Xenopus tropicalis: one gene and its partners. The protein of the gene in region 2 interacts with the protein of the main gene of each other region in a biochemical or structural test. Links are inferred from orthologs where the notes say so. Each region holds a gene or a part of one and is shown on either strand. Other genes may lie near its edges. The genes, in order: plasma membrane calcium-transporting ATPase 4, cask, caskin1, fchsd2 and cntnap2.

Region 1 (3,516 bases), about 14 Mb from region 2:
GATAGTACTGTTAGAATCTCAATTCTTCCTACTTTCCTTTTTGCAGTATGTGGGGAAGCTGCTGCAGGAGTGGAGGATGAAGGTGAGGCTCAAGCTGGATGGATTGAAGGGGCAGCCATCTTATTCTCGGTCATCATAGTTGTGCTTGTTACCGCCTTCAATGACTGGAGCAAAGAGAAGCAATTTCGAGGCCTACAGAGCCGAATTGAGCAGGAGCAGAAATTCACTGTTATCCGCAAAGGACAGGTTATCCAAATCCCTGTAGCAGAGCTAGTAGTCGGTGATATTGCACAAATAAAATATGGTATGTATAGGAAGAGTTTTTATAGACTATCACTGTTTAGAAATACAATAACAGTATTGTTATTTTCCCAGCATTCCACTGTAAACCTGTTTTATGATCTGATGTATAATCTGATGTATTTGTTTGTTATACAGGTGACCTCCTTCCTGCTGATGGGATATTGATTCAAGGCAATGACTTAAAAATTGATGAAAGCTCTCTAACTGGGGAGAGCGATCAGGTGAAAAAATCATTAGAGAAAGACCCCATGCTTTTGTCAGGTAAAATTGTTTCTATACCTGTGGGGTTAATTCTAAATAGAAGTGCTGTCTAAATTTGGTGATTTTGGTTGTATTTTTTTTTTTTTTTTAAATTGTATGGTGGCCCTTGCAGTTCTCTGTTGCTTGATGAATCCACACAAGTAGCAAATCGGTTCATAATCTGGCACATTTTTTGGCTATTCACTGACATTGTCGGACTAAGGTGTCTAGGGCCCCCCGTCCCAGTTGGTATTTGCAAGTACGCCTCTTCCACCCACCCCACCTGCTGCAGGTTTTTTCCTGGTGTCCCGCCGGCCCAGTCAGACCCTGATCACTGATGCAGTCGCATCAAATATGTTATGAGTAAAAGGGAACATACCGTCAAAGATGAATGCACAGTTGTAAATTAAATGTTTGTATGTGCAAATATTGTACCTACATCCCCACAAATATGTTTAAAAGTGCACATTTTAGACTTGCAGCCAAACTACATTAAGCCCTATAGCTATAGGGTTACTAAATGGCACAAAATGGAATCCTTCACCAGACTTGCAATGGTATGCCACAGGTACTGTGGGGTTTAGAATTGAATGCAAATTCTGGGCATATCAGGAAGTTTTAGATTATTGCAATTTTTATAACCCTCAAATATTTAAAATAAATAGATATATAAATTAGCTCCATGATGTTAGTAATAGCTTCTGCCTTGTTTGCCCACAGGAACACACGTAATGGAAGGGTCTGGACGTATGGTAGTCACAGCAGTAGGTGTCAACTCTCAAACTGGCATAATATTCACTTTGCTAGGTGCAAATGAGGGAGGTGAAGAGGAAAAAAAATCCAAAAAAGGTAATAATCCCTTGCACAGTATTTAAAAATTGGGTTTATAATGAGCAACCAAGGAACAAGAGTAACTCACTTGGATTTGCTCATGATTCATTGTAAGTTCACAATCTAAGTAAAAAAAAAAAAAAAAAAACAGATATTGAGATTGTGTAACATTTTTTTTGTTTTCTTTTTTTTTACATCGTTGTATAAAATCTTCGATCTGACACTTTAAATGAAACAAATTATGTATGTACAATTCCAAAAATGTTTTAATATATATTAATAAATATTGTAAAAATAAAACAAAACTGGGTTTATGTCAGCCCTTTACAAATGATTCTGGTTTGTATCAGACTATATTTACATGTGCAGAGGTCTACATACTACAGCAGTCTTCAAGTAAGTTAAAACACAGAATAGAAATATTTCTTCTTTGCTTTTGTGATCTGGTGTGCATACGTATACATAACTAATTTAGCAATTTGTGACTGTCAATTGTATTTTAGATGACATGGTTGGAAAGAAAATATTGGTTTTAATTTTCCTATATCAGTTCCTGTATCCTGTATTTCCTATATCAGCTCCTGCTTGCAATTGGAAATCCTTACAAACTTGTCTTAATTTTTCTAGGAGATTTTTTTTGGAAAAATTCCTTTTACCTTCCGCTGTCCTCACATCTTTGCTTTGCAACAGTTTTTTAACACTCACTGTGTCCTATTCACAGACTTTTTCTATCCATACTCATCTCTAACATTTGTGTGGGTGAGCATTTGGGGAACAGTGATCACAACATGGTCTCCTTTGAGATAATGCTGCAGAGACAGCTCTATAAGGGAGTAACTAAAACGCTCGATTTTAGATGTGCAGACTTTGCCAGTATAAGGGCATCTCTGCAATGTGTCAACTGGGAAAGGCTTAGGTTAGACACGGAAGGAAAATGGAACATCTTTAAAACATTGCTTTGCTGGTATACACAACAGTATATTCCCCTTGTACGAAGGAGAGGCATCGCAAAGCAAAACCTTTATGGCTGAATAAAAGTGTTAGTGTCGAGGTTGGTAAGAAAAAACGTGCTTTTAAAGCATTCAAGTTAGCTGGGACAGACGAAACTTTCATCAGGTACAAGGAAGCAAATAAAGCATGCAAAAAAGCTATCAGGCAAGCTAGAATAGAGATGGAAAGGGATATTGCAGCTAGGAGTAAAAAGAATCCAAAATTATTTTTTAATTATGTGAATGGTAAAAAAATGAAGCAAGAAGGGGTGGGAACCTTATTATCACAGGGGGGTAAGTTGGTTGATGAGAACGGGGAAAAAGCAGAAATTTTGAACTCCTTATTTTTCATCTGTCTATACATCTGAGGAGCCAGCTAATGAAGGCTTCCCTTTTAATATGCCCAGTTCTAGTAATTTAGCTACTGACACATGGGTCACTCAGGAGGAAATTCAAAAGAGACTTGAACATGTAAAGGTAAACAAAGGTCCAGGACCGGATGGGATTCATCCCAGGGTATTAAATGAGCTGAGCGCTGTGATTGCCAAGCCTCTTCACATAATTTTTCAGGATTCGTTGAGGTCTGGCATGGTGCCGAGAGACTGGCGAATTGCTAATAAGGGATAGGGTACTTTAATACAGTGCAGTTCACAATACTATAAGTTTGTGCCAGCATGGTTTTATGCGTAACAGATCTTGCCAGACTAATTTAGTCGCCTTTTATGAGGAGGTGAGCAGGAACCTCGATGCTGGAATGGCAGTTGATGTCATCTACTTGGACTTTGCTAAAGTGTTTTATACAGTACCTCCCAGAAGGTTGATGATCAAATTGAGGAATATTGGCCTAGAACGTAATATTTGTAATTGGATATAGAACTGGCTGAAGGATAGATTACAAAGAGTGGTGGTAAATAGAACATTTTCTAATTGGACCAGTGTGGTTAGAAGAGTACCGCAGGGGTCAGTCCTTGGTCCTTTGCTTTTTAACTTGTTTATTAATGACCTGGAGGTGGGCATAGACAATATTGTTTCTATTTTTGCTGATGACACTAAATTGTGCAAAACTATAAGTTCCATGCAGGATGCTGCCACTTTGCAGAGCGATTTGAAAATATTGGAAAACTGGGCAGCAAACTGGAAAATGAGGTTCAAT
Region 2 (3,516 bases):
ACTTTGGGTAGCCTGTAAAATAAAAATGTCTTCTTTTGGGTTGACTTTGTTCTGCAGGACATTCCAACAACCACCCAGACAAAAGGAAGACAGGTGAATACAATTTCTATATAACTTGTCATTTTTTTCCCTGGCTCCATTTGTCTTACTTGTATATTTATATAACAGTCTCAGCATCCCTCCTATATGCCACAGTTACGTTAGGTTGCATTTATTAGCAAGGTAAAAGGAATGAGGTTTTATAATATTTAGCTCAACATTTTTTTAACTTGATGGTATGAAAATCTTAAGTTGGCCATACATGTGAAGATCCGCTCATTTGGCGAGTTTGGCAAACAAGTGGATCTTTTACTGAAATGCCCACCTTGAGATGGGCGTTATTGAATCACATTTACAGGATACAGGCCATCAGGGTGAGGACTGCATCAATGCACCAATGCGCTCCTTGTTTTGAAGGGATTTTTAAACCTGTGTGATCAACATTTGTCCAATTTTTGCAAGGATATCGGTCAGATCCATACATAGACCGATAAACTGCCAACTCAGACTGCTGCCAGCTTTTATTGGCCAGTGTATAGTAGCTTTAGTCTTTTGTATAGACAGATGCTGAAAATAGTATTTCCATGTGATGCTATAGGATTTCAACATGTATGTCGTGTATAGATTTTTACTAGAAAATCTTGTATTCATTTTCCTTCTTTCATGCAAGCTTTAGCTCACTACTTTTATTTGCATGCTGATTACTAATTTTCACATCATTGTTCTTACTATTTGTAATGCTTACAAAAAGCACAGCATCGGATATGAAACAGGGCTTTCTGTGACCTTTCATGTTTAACCTCGCTAATCTCTTAATATTTCATGATTTATATTGTTACTTAGATATATGTAAGAGCACAATTTGAATATGATCCAGCAAAAGATGACCTCATTCCTTGTAAAGAAGCTGGCATCAGATTTAGAGTTGGAGACATTATCCAAATTATTAGTAAGGATGACCACAACTGGTGGCAGGGCAAACTGGAAAACGCTAAAAATGGCACTGCTGGTCTCATTCCCTCTCCTGAACTTCAAGAGTGGTAAGTGTTTTTGGTTTTATGGAGTGGGTTGTGTGTTTCCACTTACATGTTATAGTACTTTGTTATGGTTTGCTGATGCAGAGAATTGTTCATATGAATAGTCAGTTCTATCTTAAAAGTTAAATATTGCAGAAATCTACAATGATCCTGTTAAGGATTTTACCATCAAATTGAAAGGCTGTGTTCTCTACCCTAACCACAGGCCTTACTAAAAAAATGATTTATGAAATGAGCACAGCATATTTGATGGATCAATACTGTAGGTGGATGGGCAGTTCAGGTCTGCTTCACAGCACTAGCTTGGCCATAAGCTAGGGTTTCTGGTGGGCTAAATATTGGAAACAGTTGCTGAACACCCAAAATATTGTTGTTGTTTTTGCTTTTTGTGTGTGGCCACATCGTTTTGATTAAGTGTGCAGTTATTTTTACAAAAGCTATTTTCAAATAGTGTGCCACATATAATAATTTGAGTTGTTTCTCTGAAATTTACATTTTAACAATAAATTATCTTAATTTGCCTCCCTGTCATATATGTGCTTTAAATTAGGTTTCTGAACCTAGCTGTTCTCATCAACAGCAGCAGCAGTGAGATGTTAGCCACTAATATATCAATTGTAATGTGCTCTGTGACCGGGGATTTTCATGTGAAGCCATTGAAGCTGCTGGCTGCCACTAAACAGAATTGGTCGCTAAAAATATATGCATAAAACAGCCCATATGTAAACCATTTACATATGCTTTATCTAAATTACCCATTTTCATAAAAATATAAGTTTCTAGACATATTTGCCATAATCACAAAATGGGTAGCTTCTTAAATTGTATGATTCACAGGACACACAAACAAACCATATACATGCTAGGTCAAATTAGCCAATGAATAGACAAAGTTCTGACTTTTAGGGCTCTGGCACACGGGGGAGATTAGTCGCCCGCGATAAAACTCCCTGTTCGCAGGCAACTAATCTCCCCGAGTTGCCTACCTCTGCCATCCCACCGGCGAACATGTAAGTCGCCGGCGGGATGGCAGACGCGGCGGCGCGATTTCGCGCAAATCGCCGAAAAAGACTCGCGAGTCTTTTTCGGCGATTCCCTGAAATTGCCCCGCCGCGTCTGCCATCCCGCCGGCGACTTACATGTTCGCCTGTGGGATGGCAGGGGTAGGCAACTCGGGGAGATTAGTCGCCCGCGAACAGGGAGTTTTATCGCGGGCGACTAATCTCCCCCGTGTGCCAGAGCCCTTACTCCCACACTTTTTCCTGTTACAGTTAGAGCTGCATTACTTCTATTATTTGGAAATAAGTTTTGTTAACTGCCCTATTAATCTTAGCCATTATTAACCTGTCAAATATATGTTTTAAACACTGCATACAATGTTCCCTCTTATTACTTATTGGCTATGTGCGCAAAAAAATTAGGTCAGAATAAATTAAAAATTTTGTGTTTAGGTGAAAGCGCATAAGTGTATAGTTTTACCTTAATTTATAATTGGTGCTAAGTAAAGTAAATCCATTATTGTCACATGACTCTTTACTTGTGATCTTGTGTCCAATCCTAAAGCAAGGGTGAATAAGTGAACTTAATGTGGCATAGGCATTTGAAGAGGAATTTCTGAGGGAATTACATTTTTGGTTTGAGCTGTTTATGCAGTCTTTTGACATTATCAATTTGATAGGGAATGTTGTGGAAAAGCTTTACTGATTTCTAGAGGAGTAATAGTGCCTATAATTCCAGAAGTACTTGGGTTCTGTCTGTAATTATATTGTCATGTCCAAGCTTCTTGGCTCCTGCATGTAACTTGCATATTACCATCTCTTTCTGGAGAAGCATTTTGGCTCTGATAGGTATGTATGTATGTATGTATAACTTTATTTATAAAGCGCCACAAGGGTATGCAGCGCTGTACAGTCTTACAGAATACAAAATTACACACAGGGAGGACAAGTGATTGTATTTATTTATTATAAGTGCCATGTGGTATGAGACACAGTAGGAAGGAGGTCCCTGCCCCGTAGAGCTTACAATCTGAGTGGTTGGGTAACATACAGGCACAAACTGGAAGGTAAGAGTGCATCAGGTATGGGCATTTGCCCTTAAGCGCAGGACTGGGCAAAATAATGTTTTAGTGCTCCAGAAGGTAACAGCTGAGTTTTTTCTTAAAGAGAGTGGGTGAGTTTTCCCTACGGAGGGATTCAGGGATAGAGTTCCAGAGGTAAGGAGCAGCGAGATAGAAAGAAAGGTTTAAGACGAGAGAGCGCAGTGGGTGTGGATGGTGTAAAGAGACGGAGGCTCTGAGAGGAGCGGAGGAGACGACCAGGAACATGTAGGGAGACCAGTGAAGAAATGTAGTGAGGAGCAGAGGAGTGAAGGGCTTTGAATGTCAGCAGAAGGATTTTGTAAGCTATCCTTTGCTTGACAGGCAGCCATGCTAGTGAGC
Region 3 (4,069 bases), on a different chromosome or scaffold from region 2:
CCTATACATCACTGCTTGGGCTGCCATGAGTTTGTGTCAGACCCAGCATTCTGTCCCTCCTCAAGACAAATACTGTATAAATGCTGCCATGGCAGGAAGTTATGGCACAGACCAGGCATTCTGTTATTATTAACATTTAACATATATTTATAAAGCACCATGTTACTCTTCAATACAAATACAGTATAAATGCTGCCATGAGAGGAGGTCATGGCACAGACCATGCATTCTATCCCTCCTCAATACAAATACTGTATAAATGCTGCCATGAGAGGAGGTCATGGCACAGACCAGGCATTCTATCCCTCCTCAATACAAATGCTATATAAATGCTGCCATGACAGGAAGTTATGGCACAGACCAGGCATTCTATCCCTCCTCAATACAAATGCTATATAAATGCTGCCATGACAGGAAGTCATGGCACAGACCAGGCATTCTATCCCTCCTCAATACAAATACTTTATAAATGCTGCCATGAGAGGAGGTCATGACACAGACCAGGCATTCTGTCCCTTCTCAATACAAATACTGTATAAATGATGCCATGACAAGAAGTGATGGCACAGACCTGGAATTTTGTTCCTTTTTTATCCAAATACTGTATAAATGAATGAAGGCCAAAGAATATACAGGTAGCCATATATGAATGACAGTCATAGACCATGAGGTAAAACAACAACACTGCCACATAAGCATCAAGACTGGGATTCCAGGACCCAAAGATATAACCCAAACAAAACCAGTGGGAGCAGGAAAAGTGGAACCGGACCTGGCATGTATAAGGAGATGCTGTAAAATGATATCCTCCCTTTGATACACTGAGCAGTGGGACTGCCAGGCAAAGGACCAGGATACCATAGGTACCATATCCAGCATAGGGACCCAACGCTTCCACCATGTCCCCTCCCATTCCTGCATGCTGCAGCAATCACAGACCTCCACCGGACGCCCCTCACCCATCAGAATCCCTGTACCACTAATGCAGATTAGCTTTTCCCTCTCACAGTCCTTTCCCCAGTCAGGAGGCACCAGCTGAGCCTGACAGCGGCGTCATGCCATTAACACTCTTTCAGGGCCAATAACACTCTCTCTCAGGGCCCGGCAATGGCATTTTCTTCTAGCTGCAACACGAGCCCCCAAACTTCTGCTGCCAGCGACGGCCAACTTTGCAGCCACGTTATCCCATGGTTGCTGGGAGTTGTGGTTTAGGAAAAAGCCAGAGGGCTGCGAGGTGGACATCATTGGGACATAGCTGCCAGCAAAGCTTACACCCTATATATATATATATATATTCTTAATACTGATCTCATTACAATGCATGGGAAGAACAGGTGTCTATGTATGAATCCATCATGTAATGACATGGCACCCAAATATGCAATATTCCCTTCATACATATGATTAACCCTTTCGTCACTTGTGAGGTGAAAATGATGCTCCCTCTGCATGTCCCTCCATGAAACATCTTTCTGCACATGTACCCGTACTATATCCTTAGCCTGAAATCCTCCCCACCCCAACACACACAAAGTGCATCCACCAAACCGAGAGCAGCACCCAAATTCATGTTGCAACCAATGCAAAATACATATTTGTCGCTAAAATGGGGTATTATAGCCTGCAGAGTAAGGGCAACGCCACTGGAATTAATGGTGGATTGCACTTCTTTTGCACATGGCACCACTTGGTACATAACCCTGCTAATACCTAGCTGTCAGTAGAAGAAGGGGTATCTTGCAGAGGCTGGTGTGCACATCATAACACAGGGCACAGTGGGCATGCAAGGATACTGTATAAAAGCTCTCAAGCAAATACCCCATTGGCTGGCATACATATGTGCAAAATCTGACACGACAGGGCAGTCAACTGGCCTGAGAGTTCAGTAACTTAAGTGGAAAACATAACGTGGCACCAACATGCAGTTTGCCCCCAGTAACTGAGGCCCACGGTGCCAACTGCAGCTGTGTTCATGGCAAAGGGGCCAATTTTAGCCACAAACAGTATCTACTACATGAGGAATGCCCAACCTGGTGAGGTTGAATTGAAGCTCCCAGCATCCACCAATAGCCAATTATGAAGGATGCTGGGAGTTGTCGTTCGTCGCCAACTTGAGGGCCTCAGGTTGGGCAATCCTTGCGCAGGGAAAGTGCCTGCTAATTAATTCTTTGCTGATTAAATCCCCTTCAAGCTCTTGAGCCAATTAAATGGATCATCTCTGTGCTACTCACTGGCTTTGCCTGCCTTGGGTCTCTGCAGCAGCTTCTGTACCATCCCCAGGTCCTCGGTCTTCACAGCCTGGAGCAGCTCCTGGTCCTTCCCCATCCTTCTTCCTTTCACTGGGGAGGGGGGGTCAGATGGGGCTAAAGCTGGGGAGGGAGGGGGCAGATCCTGCTCAGATTGGTCCTTAGAGCCAGAGCATCCTTTTTGGCAGAAGGCGTTGAGGATGATGAAGAGGTGGAAAATGGTGAGGGGTGATGGAGATCAGGCTCCCTGCAGGGGTGGGGAGATGGGGGGAGACTGTCAGATGTGCTGGGGGGCAATAGAGACACCTCCAGCCGGGAGGAGCCACACTACAAGCAAGTGAGCAGCAATCACCATCCTGAATACGGGGGTTCGGGGTTCCCGGTTCGTTAGGGGATGTTTCGCCCTGCTTCTCCCTCACCGGCTGCGCGATGGCCGCACTGCTCCCCCGGGTATGTGGGCGCACAGGGTCACCCCAGGATACTGCTCCCGGTGCAGGACAGGCTCTCCCGCTAAAGGATGCTCGGCTCCGGGGTGCAGGCAGTGTGTGTGACTGTGTGTGTGCGACTGCGATCCGCCTCTCTCCCTCTCCTGATCCCTCCTCCCTCTCCCCCTGTATTGGCTGCGCTCACACTCAGCTGCATCCAGAGGCGGATCCGCGGCAGCAAAACCTGCAATTTCCAGCAGCGCAACTGCACCCATGCACCTACCGGCACCTACCGGCACCTACTGGCACTTACATACACCTACCGGCACCTACATACACCTACCGGCACTTACATACACCTACCGGCACTTACATACACCTACCGGCACCTACATACACCTGTGCCCAGGGCACCTACCGGCACCTACATACACCTACCGGCTACTACATACACCTACCGGCACCTACCGGCACACACATACACCTGTGCCCAGGGCACCTACTGGCACTTACATACACCTACCGGCACCTACATACACCTGTGCCCAGGGCACCTACCGGCACCTACTGGCACTTACATACACCTACCGGCACCTACATACACCTACCGGCACTTACATACACCTACCGGCACTTACATACACCTACCGGCACCTACATACACCTGTGCCCAGGGCACCTACCGGCACCTACATACACCTACCGGCTACTACATACACCTACCGGCACCTACCGGCACACACATACACCTGTGCCCAGGGCACCTACTGGCACTTACATACACCTACCGGCACCTACATACACCTGTGCCCAGGGCACCTACCGGCACCTACTGGCACTTACATACACCTACCGGCACCTACATACACCTACCGGCACTTACATACACCTACCGGCACTTACATACACCTACCGGCACCTACATACACCTGTGCCCAGGGCACCTACCGGCACCTACATACACCTACCGGCTACTACATACACCTACCGGCACCTACCGGCACACACATACACCTGTGCCCAGGGCACCTACTGGCACTTACATACACCTACCGGCACCTACTGGCACTTACATACACCTACCGGCACCTACTGGCACTTACATACACCTGTGCCCAGGGCACCTATTGGCACTTACATACACCTGTGCCCAGGGCACCTACCTGCACTTACATACACCTGTGCCCAGGGCACCTACTGGCACTTACATACACCTGTGCCCATGGCACCTACCGGCACTTACATACACCTGTGCCCAGGGCACCTACTGGCACATACATACACCTGTGCCTAGGGCACCTACCGGCACCTACTGGCACTTACATACACCTACCGGCACCTACTGGCACTTACATACACCTGTGCCCAGGGCACCTACCGGCACTTACATACACCTGT
Region 4 (3,516 bases), about 120 Mb from region 2:
AGCCGGATGGAACTGGAACAAAAGATAGAAGAGACTAGAGAGAATATGCGCAAGGCAGAGGTAAGTTGTGCCATCTGTAACACTGGGGTAAATCGGGGGGCCAACAAGCAGTGCAGTTGTGTTGTGCTCCCAGATTTTAGAACTTTGCTTGCGCACAGAGGCAAGATTTGAAGCAAGAACTTGCAGCAAAAGTCACTGGTTGCTGATGAGTATTATGTCCCAGTAAGGGTTAAGGCCTTAGGCAAGAATATGAGGACTCTATCTGTCTCTGGTTTCACGACAAAGGGCAATATTCTTTGTCGCCTGATTCTCTTCCTCAGGTGTGACATTGTTTAGCGTCCCTGTGTCTGGTTGCTGCAGGGGTTAGGTTACCGTATGCCCTTTCAGATCAGAAACTTCAACACTTCATTGGCCTGGTTACTTTCCCATGGCTGGGGGAGGCTGTTTCGTAATGCACCTATGACTTTCTGGTCCGGTATTTCCCATACCTAGAGTGTAAAGTCCATAAATATTGGATGCAGATCTACCATCTGTACCGCATTGTTAAATAAAGGGGAAGTAAGAAAGATAATCTAGGCTCTAAATTGCCCTATTGCTGCTGCTTATACCTCAGATTCTTACTTTCATTATCTAACTCGTGTTTCCTTATCTAACTCGTGTTTCTCCAGTTTCCTTAATAAAGATTCACCCAGATCCATTTGGTTTTGCCCAAATGCTCCACGAGCAATTACAATTACTAGCAACCGCTTTCAGGGGGCATTTACAGCTGAGGGCACTAGCGTATCTATATAGGGGGCAAATCCAATGACCTATTTTGTGTTGCCTTTCTAATAAGGTCTATATTTGGATTTGTAATATAGCTGTGAGAACATTAGCAGCATGGTGGCACGCACATGAGGTTGCAGGAAGATACTGGATACCTAGGGCAGCTAATGATTATTTGTGCTTGATTAGACAGTGAGAATTGCCAAGCAAAAGCTCTACCCTCCTACCCTTTCACTTAACATGTAATTTATCTATCTGGTTATAAGTTACTTATCTGTCTTTGGTAACTGATGCCTTGTTATGCTTCATTATTGCTAAGTCTAATGTCCCACAGGGAGATTAGTCACCCACAATAAATTTCTGCTAACGTGGGCAACTGCTCTCCCCTAAATACTTTTCCACCGGCAGTAATGTGAACTGCCGGTGAGAAGGCATACGCATCACTAAGATGCCCGACGTTTCCTCGCAATTGGCAAAGCAAATGTCTTCCCACCAGGAAGCCAGTGATTTCTAATTCAAAATTCAAAGGAAATGTGTCCATAGAAATGGTTAGCACTGCTTCTGCCTCTGGATCCTAAGTTCCTTTGTGACCTGGAAACCATCTGCAAGGAGTTTATGCTTTTTCCCATTGTCTGTATAGGTTTCATGCCAGTACTTTAGCTTCCTCCCACATACCAAAAGCATACAAGCAAGTTAATTGGATGCAACAAGATTGGCCACGTGAATGTGATAGGGACCTTGGAATGTAAGCTCACTGGGGCAGGGGCTGATGGGAATGTGATAGGGACCTTAGATTGTAAGCTCCACTGGGGCAGGGACTGACGGGAATGTGATAAGGACCTTAGATTGTAAGCTCACTGGGGCAGGGACTGATGGCAATGTTATAGGGACCTTTGAGTGTAAGCTTCACTGGGGCAGGGACTGATGGGAATGTGATAGGGACCTTAGATTGTAAGCTCCACTGGGGCAGGGACTGATAGGAATTTGACAGGGACCTTAGATTGTAAGCTTCACTGGGGCGGGGACTGATGAAATATGCCACTATATAAAAAACAATAACAAATAATGTTCTATTCCTGTACAGATTACAAAGCTAAAAGCTGAAGCCCGACTGGATCTGTTGCGGCAAATCGGTGTGTCGGTGGACACGTGGCTGAAGAGTGCAATGAATCAGGTGATGGAGGAGCTGGAGAATGAGCGCTGGGCAAGCCTCCCAACCCTGATGAATAATGGCTCCTCCCATATGGTATAGTCACATTACCTCTATATATAATATAATATAAAATATATTATATTAAAATGCACCTTATTTACGGTTGCAGCTACAGTCACTGCAAAAAAATGGCAACCTGCAGCTCATGAATGACTTCTTTTTCTATTATTGCCCAGTGGGTTCTGTTCCAGCTGTTGCCAATCTCCTATTCGATTGGGCCACATATGTGCTGTCTCATGTGTGCTGGGTATATCATTTGGGTAGTTACTAATACTAAGATCCTTGTCATTCTGTGATTGCATTAAAATGGAAGTGAATTAGGATTTACAGTACTTACTGTAATTAAATCTCGCCATAAAACCACAGGCAGGAACAACCCAAAGCAATGTATTTCCGAGCTGCTGATTGTAAGTTAAATCTATTACCGGCCTATTGCCCTTTAACATGAGGAATTCTCTATATTACAAGTTAATGAGCCAGTGGGTGTCTCACCATAAATCATGCTCCCAGGTTATGAAACGCTGGCCGGCAGTCTGATAAACTGTCTGGGAGGCACCGGCCGATGAGTGGCACCTCATTTACAGCAAATGTAAATGAAAGGAACACAAGGCTGGGAATGTGTAGTAATTGCAGCGTGAGTCTCCGGTGTCACAAGGGGAGCGTCTCGCTTACTCATTAACTCCGGCTTCTTGTGCTGAAAGGCAGAATTCTCTAAATGCCAGTGCTGAAAACACTGCAGTAAATAAATAAAGTTGTACAGTTACACATCTGTTTAAAGAGACAGCAGGCCTTGTACCACAAAGCTTACAGTCCAAGCAAGATAGACACAAATACTGTAGAAGGGCAATAGGTGCTACCATTCATCGTGTACTATGGATATCTGTGGATTTGTCAGGTTTTACACTTTTTTACACTTCACCTTTAAGTATGTTATAGAATGACCAATTCTAAGCAACTTTTTAGTTGGTCTTCATTATTTATTTTTTATCGTTTTTGAACTATTTGCCTTCTTCTGCAGCTTTCAAATGGGGGTCACTGACCCCGGCAGCCAGAAACGATTGCTCTGTGAGGCTCCAGTTTTCTTGTTATTGTTACTTTTTTTTATAACCTTTTCTATCCAGTCCCTCTGCCATTCATATACCAGCCTTCTCATTCAAACCAGGCCTTGGTTGCTATGGTAATTTGGACCCTAGCAACCAGATAGCTGCTCAATCTCCAAACTGAAAAGCTGCTAAACAAAGTCAAATAACTAAAAAAAAAAAATACAAATAATAAAAAATAAAGTCCAATTACAAATTTTATCAGAATATCACTTGCTACATCACACTAAAAGTTAATTCAAAGGTGAACAACCCCTTTAAGGTGAAGAATAGCCACAGCGTTAGGTGTGTTGTTGGTTTTGATGTTCCCCCGACAGAAGGCCTGATTTCTTTGGTTGTTTGCTGACAGGGAGGCACAGATGTGGATCGGGAGGATGGAGAGGAGTTGGAGGACAGCATGGATGCCTTTGATGACAGCAGCTCCAGTCCTTCTGGCAC
Region 5 (4,134 bases), on a different chromosome or scaffold from region 2:
CTTTCATTTTCTAACTTGTTGTAGACTGTCGATAACCAGTTGCTGATTAGAAGCTGTTGGCAACTGCATTTATGCAATTTAGCACCTATATTCGTAAATAAGCCTTATGGACATGGAAATGTCTCAAAGCATAGCAACATCAGGCAATATCTCAGTTCAATGCTATTTGTTTGTCAATATTTATGTACAAAGACATTATAACGATTAATTAATACAAATTATACAATTACAATATTTAAAAATCGCGTTATAGCACATTTTAATGTTATATATCTTTCCTTTTAATGTTATATATCTACTATCTTTGTGTTGGCATGCAAGTAGTTAATTTCACCTACACATAAAGGAGGAGGCAGGGGACATTCATCACTTGGTTTCATTGGCAGATGTGCTGCTAAGTCAGATTAAAACTTAAAGGGCACAAAAGCTTTCATACTCATGTTGGGATTGGTTACTGGAAGCCCTCCAGAGATGCTTTATCTACAACTCCCAGCATCTTTCTATTGATGAATGCTTGCTGGGATTTGTGTTTAAATGAAACTTAGCAACCATATGTTTAAGTTGCCACTCTTATATCACTGACAGTTGAATATTACTGCCTATCCTGCATTTGTAATTAAAACCTTATTCAGAATAGCTGGAGACAGTGCCCAGAACACAGTGTCACCATCTTACTGAATTCTGACAGTACTAAGACTATCCAGGAGCACAAGAGGTTAATGGTCACGTATACACTTTATAAGGTCTGTGTTGCTGCATTTTAATCCAACTACATAACACATGAAATGGTCTGTTTAATTTCATAAATTGATTGCTATACTTTCAGTAGCATGCCCAGTTCTACAAATGGCAGCAACTATATAAAAGAGTGAATATACAGTACCCTATAGTTTACCAAAGGAGGACGCCACTCAAACTGTCCATTTAACCACTGATAAATATGCCTCTTAAATTAGCATATTACGTAAACAGCCTTACAGAAAGTAGCAAATACACTAAATCATATCAAGAATAGCTATAATATGCATGTATTCACATAGACATCTGAGAGGTACAACCATAGTAACTCTAGTCAAACAGCATCACAGGAAGCCCCAAAGATGCAGAGGTGCAGGACTGTAATGTGACAGGTTCAGCTTCTGCCCTCAGCATTTACCTGACTGAGTATCAACAATAATTAATGGATATCAGAGAGTCTATCACACATTGTCGACTTGCAATTACAGAAAAAATATCTTCATCTCAGACAATATAGTCCCATGCACACGGGGGGGGGGGGGGGGGGGGGTAGTTAATGCCATTAATTGTCATGGTTAGGCAATGCTGAAAATGAGGCCAAATAAATAAATCTTCTATAAACACCAAGGCCGCCCTACCTGCTGCCCTCCTGCTAGCTATAAACTTCAATACCCACCATCTGTAGCCCTACAACAGCTGAAGGCCATAGATCTGATTATAAAAGCAATTTATATGAAATAAAACACAGCTCACATGCCAATAATATATGTTTATGGTAGAAGCAGCAGAACCACACAGTGGGCACACATGGCACATTACGCCCCATGATAATAACAGCAGCCTAGCTTTCACAAAAATACGTGCTTTCATTCACAAGAATTCCATGTTTAAAATTAACAACTTCCAAATATGTTTGTTTTCCCATCTAATTTGTAAATGAAGCATTCATTCATCAGTTTTTTGCACTTTATTTCTGGGAAATCAATGCACAACAAACTTTCTTACTGGTATTTCAGACAAAAAAAGAACCAAGCTGCTGTATCAAAGCACATAACTTCCCTACAATAATGCTGCCATTCTAACACTCCTTGTGCACCCCAGACTTATTCAGTTTCAGCAGGACCGTAATGGAAATCATCCACATTCCATTCACCCTGTGTGAGCTGCTTAAGTATTAATAAAGTCATGCAGCATGAGGCTTTGCCACTTATCTGCGACTAATGTTTAATCAGATGGCTCATGCCTTTGTGCCTTATAAGCAAATGTTTTCCTTTCCGATTAGTACCATGAGGAATCAGCAAATGTTAGAATTCTCATTGGAGCGGGGGAATTTCATAACTTTTAGGAAATATGCTGTGTGAGCCGTCTGCAGCCAGGCACTGGGTGACATACAGTGTTGAGTATATAGTGATTGAAGACAGCAGCAGGGGCAAAAGATCTCTGTTTATATGTCAGGGAGCCGTGGGAAACAAGTGGGAAATAGAAAGGGATAAAAGACTTACTAGATGTAGGGGAGGCACTCCGGGCCATGCAGTAGATGCAGCTCAAAATCCCCAGGAATGGAACAGTGCACCTGTCTCTGAATATCCAAACCATGGCTTGCAAATGGTCCTAGGTATAAACTCCAGATCCCAGCAGTGTGTATGTGGAACTTCTCCCAACAGTATTCCTGTTCTGTAGCCTTGCTTGCTTTGATGAGAAGGGGAGTGGAAGATAGGAAATAGCTGAGGGTGGGGTGGTTAAATATTTACCTCCCCCCTTGTCCAAGAATAACAAGCCCACCCCTGCCCTGCTTTGCCAGACCCTTGATTGGGTCTTCAAGTCCCCTTGATGTCCTTAGCAGTGAATTACCAAACTTGTTCTCACACTTCTGAAGATCATGGCTAAGAAGCAGACACAGAGAAACAGAAAGAAACAGATCAAACAACCTGTATCGGAAGAGTGTGTGTATCTTAACAGGAAAATCCCACACCGGCCATGGGCAAGTAGATTAGGATAGGAGTGAGGAGCAGGGAGATGGAAGCAGTGCTGCTGAAGCTGTCTCCGCAGCTGAGCCCTTCCAATTCCAGAGATTGGAATAACCCAGCTCAGAAACACACAGTCATACTGTATATATATATATATATATATATGCAGCCACACAGCAGAGCAGGCAGGCACAGGAGAAGACACTCCCCACAATCACATTGAAAAGCACAGAGCTATATTTATTCAGCAGCTCTCTAAGAGGAAGCAGAGCTCCAGCACTGCAGCACAGCCCACACCGGCTCCACTCCGCCGGCTGCTGCTGATGCTGCCACTGCTTCTTCCTCCCCAGCCCTGCTGTGTTCCTTCAGCCAGAAACCTTAGGCAGAAATCTTGCTTTTATGAGGCAGTCAGAGGGAGCAGAGTGTTCAATGGCTGAGCGTAGATGGCATGAAGCAGAACCCTTGTGTTGTTTTAATCTCTGCACCAGCTCCTGCAGACTGATGGAAGGGGGGAGGGGACCTATTAAAAGGCTGATCAGGGATACTGGGATGCTTGGGTTATTGCCTGCAGTTCAGCAGATAATCAGTAGATGGCCTTTTGCTAACAGTCAAGTGCATTTAAACATGACTCGTGTAATGCAAAGCACTGGAACAGTCAGAACAATGCACATGGCAGTGCTCCTTCTGTCAATAGGGCACCCACATGCAAACATCATAGGCTTCAAACAGAAATACATAAAAACATATTTCTAAACTGTCCCATATACAAAGAAACCTTGTTGGCTAGCTCAGATACAAATGATTAAATGCAAAAGCAATGTATGTGCAGCACTGCATGACATTTCCTAAGAAGACAGTTCTGAATAAGATGCTTATGAATTATAAAGTAAACATAGACTTACAAAGACCTTTTTCTGGCCATTTTATGGAAAATAAACTGTTGAATTGTTGGAAGTAAATGGAAATATAAAAGCCAGTATGTGCTTAATGTAAGAAAATGCCATTCTAACAATTTCCAAAATACATAATTGAAAATGTTTCTACTGTTTTAAAGTTATTCAGTAACAGAAAGCAGTATTTTCCTCTCACTTTATGTTCTCCTTGTTTTGGTTCTTGAAACAATGTAGCAGAATCTACAGTATTTTCTCCCTATCAGGACAATTCTTCTGAGGTCTGAGGACTATTTTCAATAGTCAGAACCAGGAGTGCAAAGAATAACAAAGAGTTGCTGATAACTTTCATATGAAGTAGGGATGCACCGAACCCAATTTCTCGTGTTTGGGCGAACCCCCAAATCCATCTGAAGGGATTTACCAAACTGAATCCGAATCCTAATTAACATATGCTAATTGGGATTTGGAAAGGTTAAATGTCTAAATTTTACACTTCCGTGTTTATGCGGCAACATTAACCCTTCCAAATCCTAATA

What was found.
Region 1: the proteins of cask (region 2) and plasma membrane calcium-transporting ATPase 4 form a complex in vitro, tested with the Homo sapiens proteins (2 studies listed by BioGRID and IntAct, with this or other methods). The link is inferred for Xenopus tropicalis from reciprocal best matches to the Homo sapiens genes CASK and ATP2B4.
Region 3: the proteins of cask (region 2) and caskin1 interact in a biophysical measurement, tested with the Homo sapiens proteins (2 studies listed by IntAct, with this or other methods). The link is inferred for Xenopus tropicalis from reciprocal best matches to the Homo sapiens genes CASK and CASKIN1.
Region 4: the proteins of cask (region 2) and fchsd2 form a complex in vitro, tested with the Homo sapiens proteins (2 studies listed by BioGRID and IntAct, with this or other methods). The link is inferred for Xenopus tropicalis from reciprocal best matches to the Homo sapiens genes CASK and FCHSD2.
Region 5: the proteins of cask (region 2) and cntnap2 form a complex in vitro, tested with the Homo sapiens proteins (2 studies listed by BioGRID and IntAct, with this or other methods). The link is inferred for Xenopus tropicalis from reciprocal best matches to the Homo sapiens genes CASK and CNTNAP2.

What each region holds. Positions count from the first base shown.
Region 1 is NC_030678.2:70,269,585-70,273,100, reverse strand, and holds part of plasma membrane calcium-transporting ATPase 4, read left to right. Parts: intron 1-46; coding exon 47-304; intron 305-438; coding exon 439-564; intron 565-1,263; coding exon 1,264-1,392; intron 1,393-3,516. UniProt on the Homo sapiens protein: Calcium/calmodulin-regulated and magnesium-dependent enzyme that catalyzes the hydrolysis of ATP coupled with the transport of calcium out of the cell. By regulating sperm cell calcium homeostasis, may play a role in sperm motility.
Region 2 is NC_030678.2:56,619,881-56,623,396, forward strand, and holds part of cask (peripheral plasma membrane protein CASK), read left to right. Parts: intron 1-57; coding exon 58-93; intron 94-882; coding exon 883-1,079; intron 1,080-3,516. UniProt on the Homo sapiens protein: Multidomain scaffolding Mg(2+)-independent protein kinase that catalyzes the phosphotransfer from ATP to proteins such as NRXN1, and plays a role in synaptic transmembrane protein anchoring and ion channel trafficking.
Region 3 is NC_030685.2:19,460,959-19,465,027, reverse strand, and holds the start of caskin1 (caskin-1), read right to left. Parts: upstream 2,816-4,069; 5' UTR 2,326-2,815; coding exon 2,232-2,325; intron 1-2,231.
Region 4 is NC_030678.2:172,222,722-172,226,237, reverse strand, and holds part of fchsd2 (F-BAR and double SH3 domains protein 2), read left to right. Parts: coding exon 1-60; intron 61-1,849; coding exon 1,850-2,011; intron 2,012-3,427; coding exon 3,428-3,516. UniProt on the Homo sapiens protein: Adapter protein that plays a role in endocytosis via clathrin-coated pits. Contributes to the internalization of cell surface receptors, such as integrin ITGB1 and transferrin receptor.
Region 5 is NC_030682.2:56,137,154-56,141,287, forward strand, and holds the start of cntnap2 (contactin-associated protein-like 2), read right to left. Parts: upstream 2,804-4,134; 5' UTR 2,335-2,803; coding exon 2,241-2,334; intron 1-2,240. UniProt on the Homo sapiens protein: Required for gap junction formation. Required, with CNTNAP1, for radial and longitudinal organization of myelinated axons.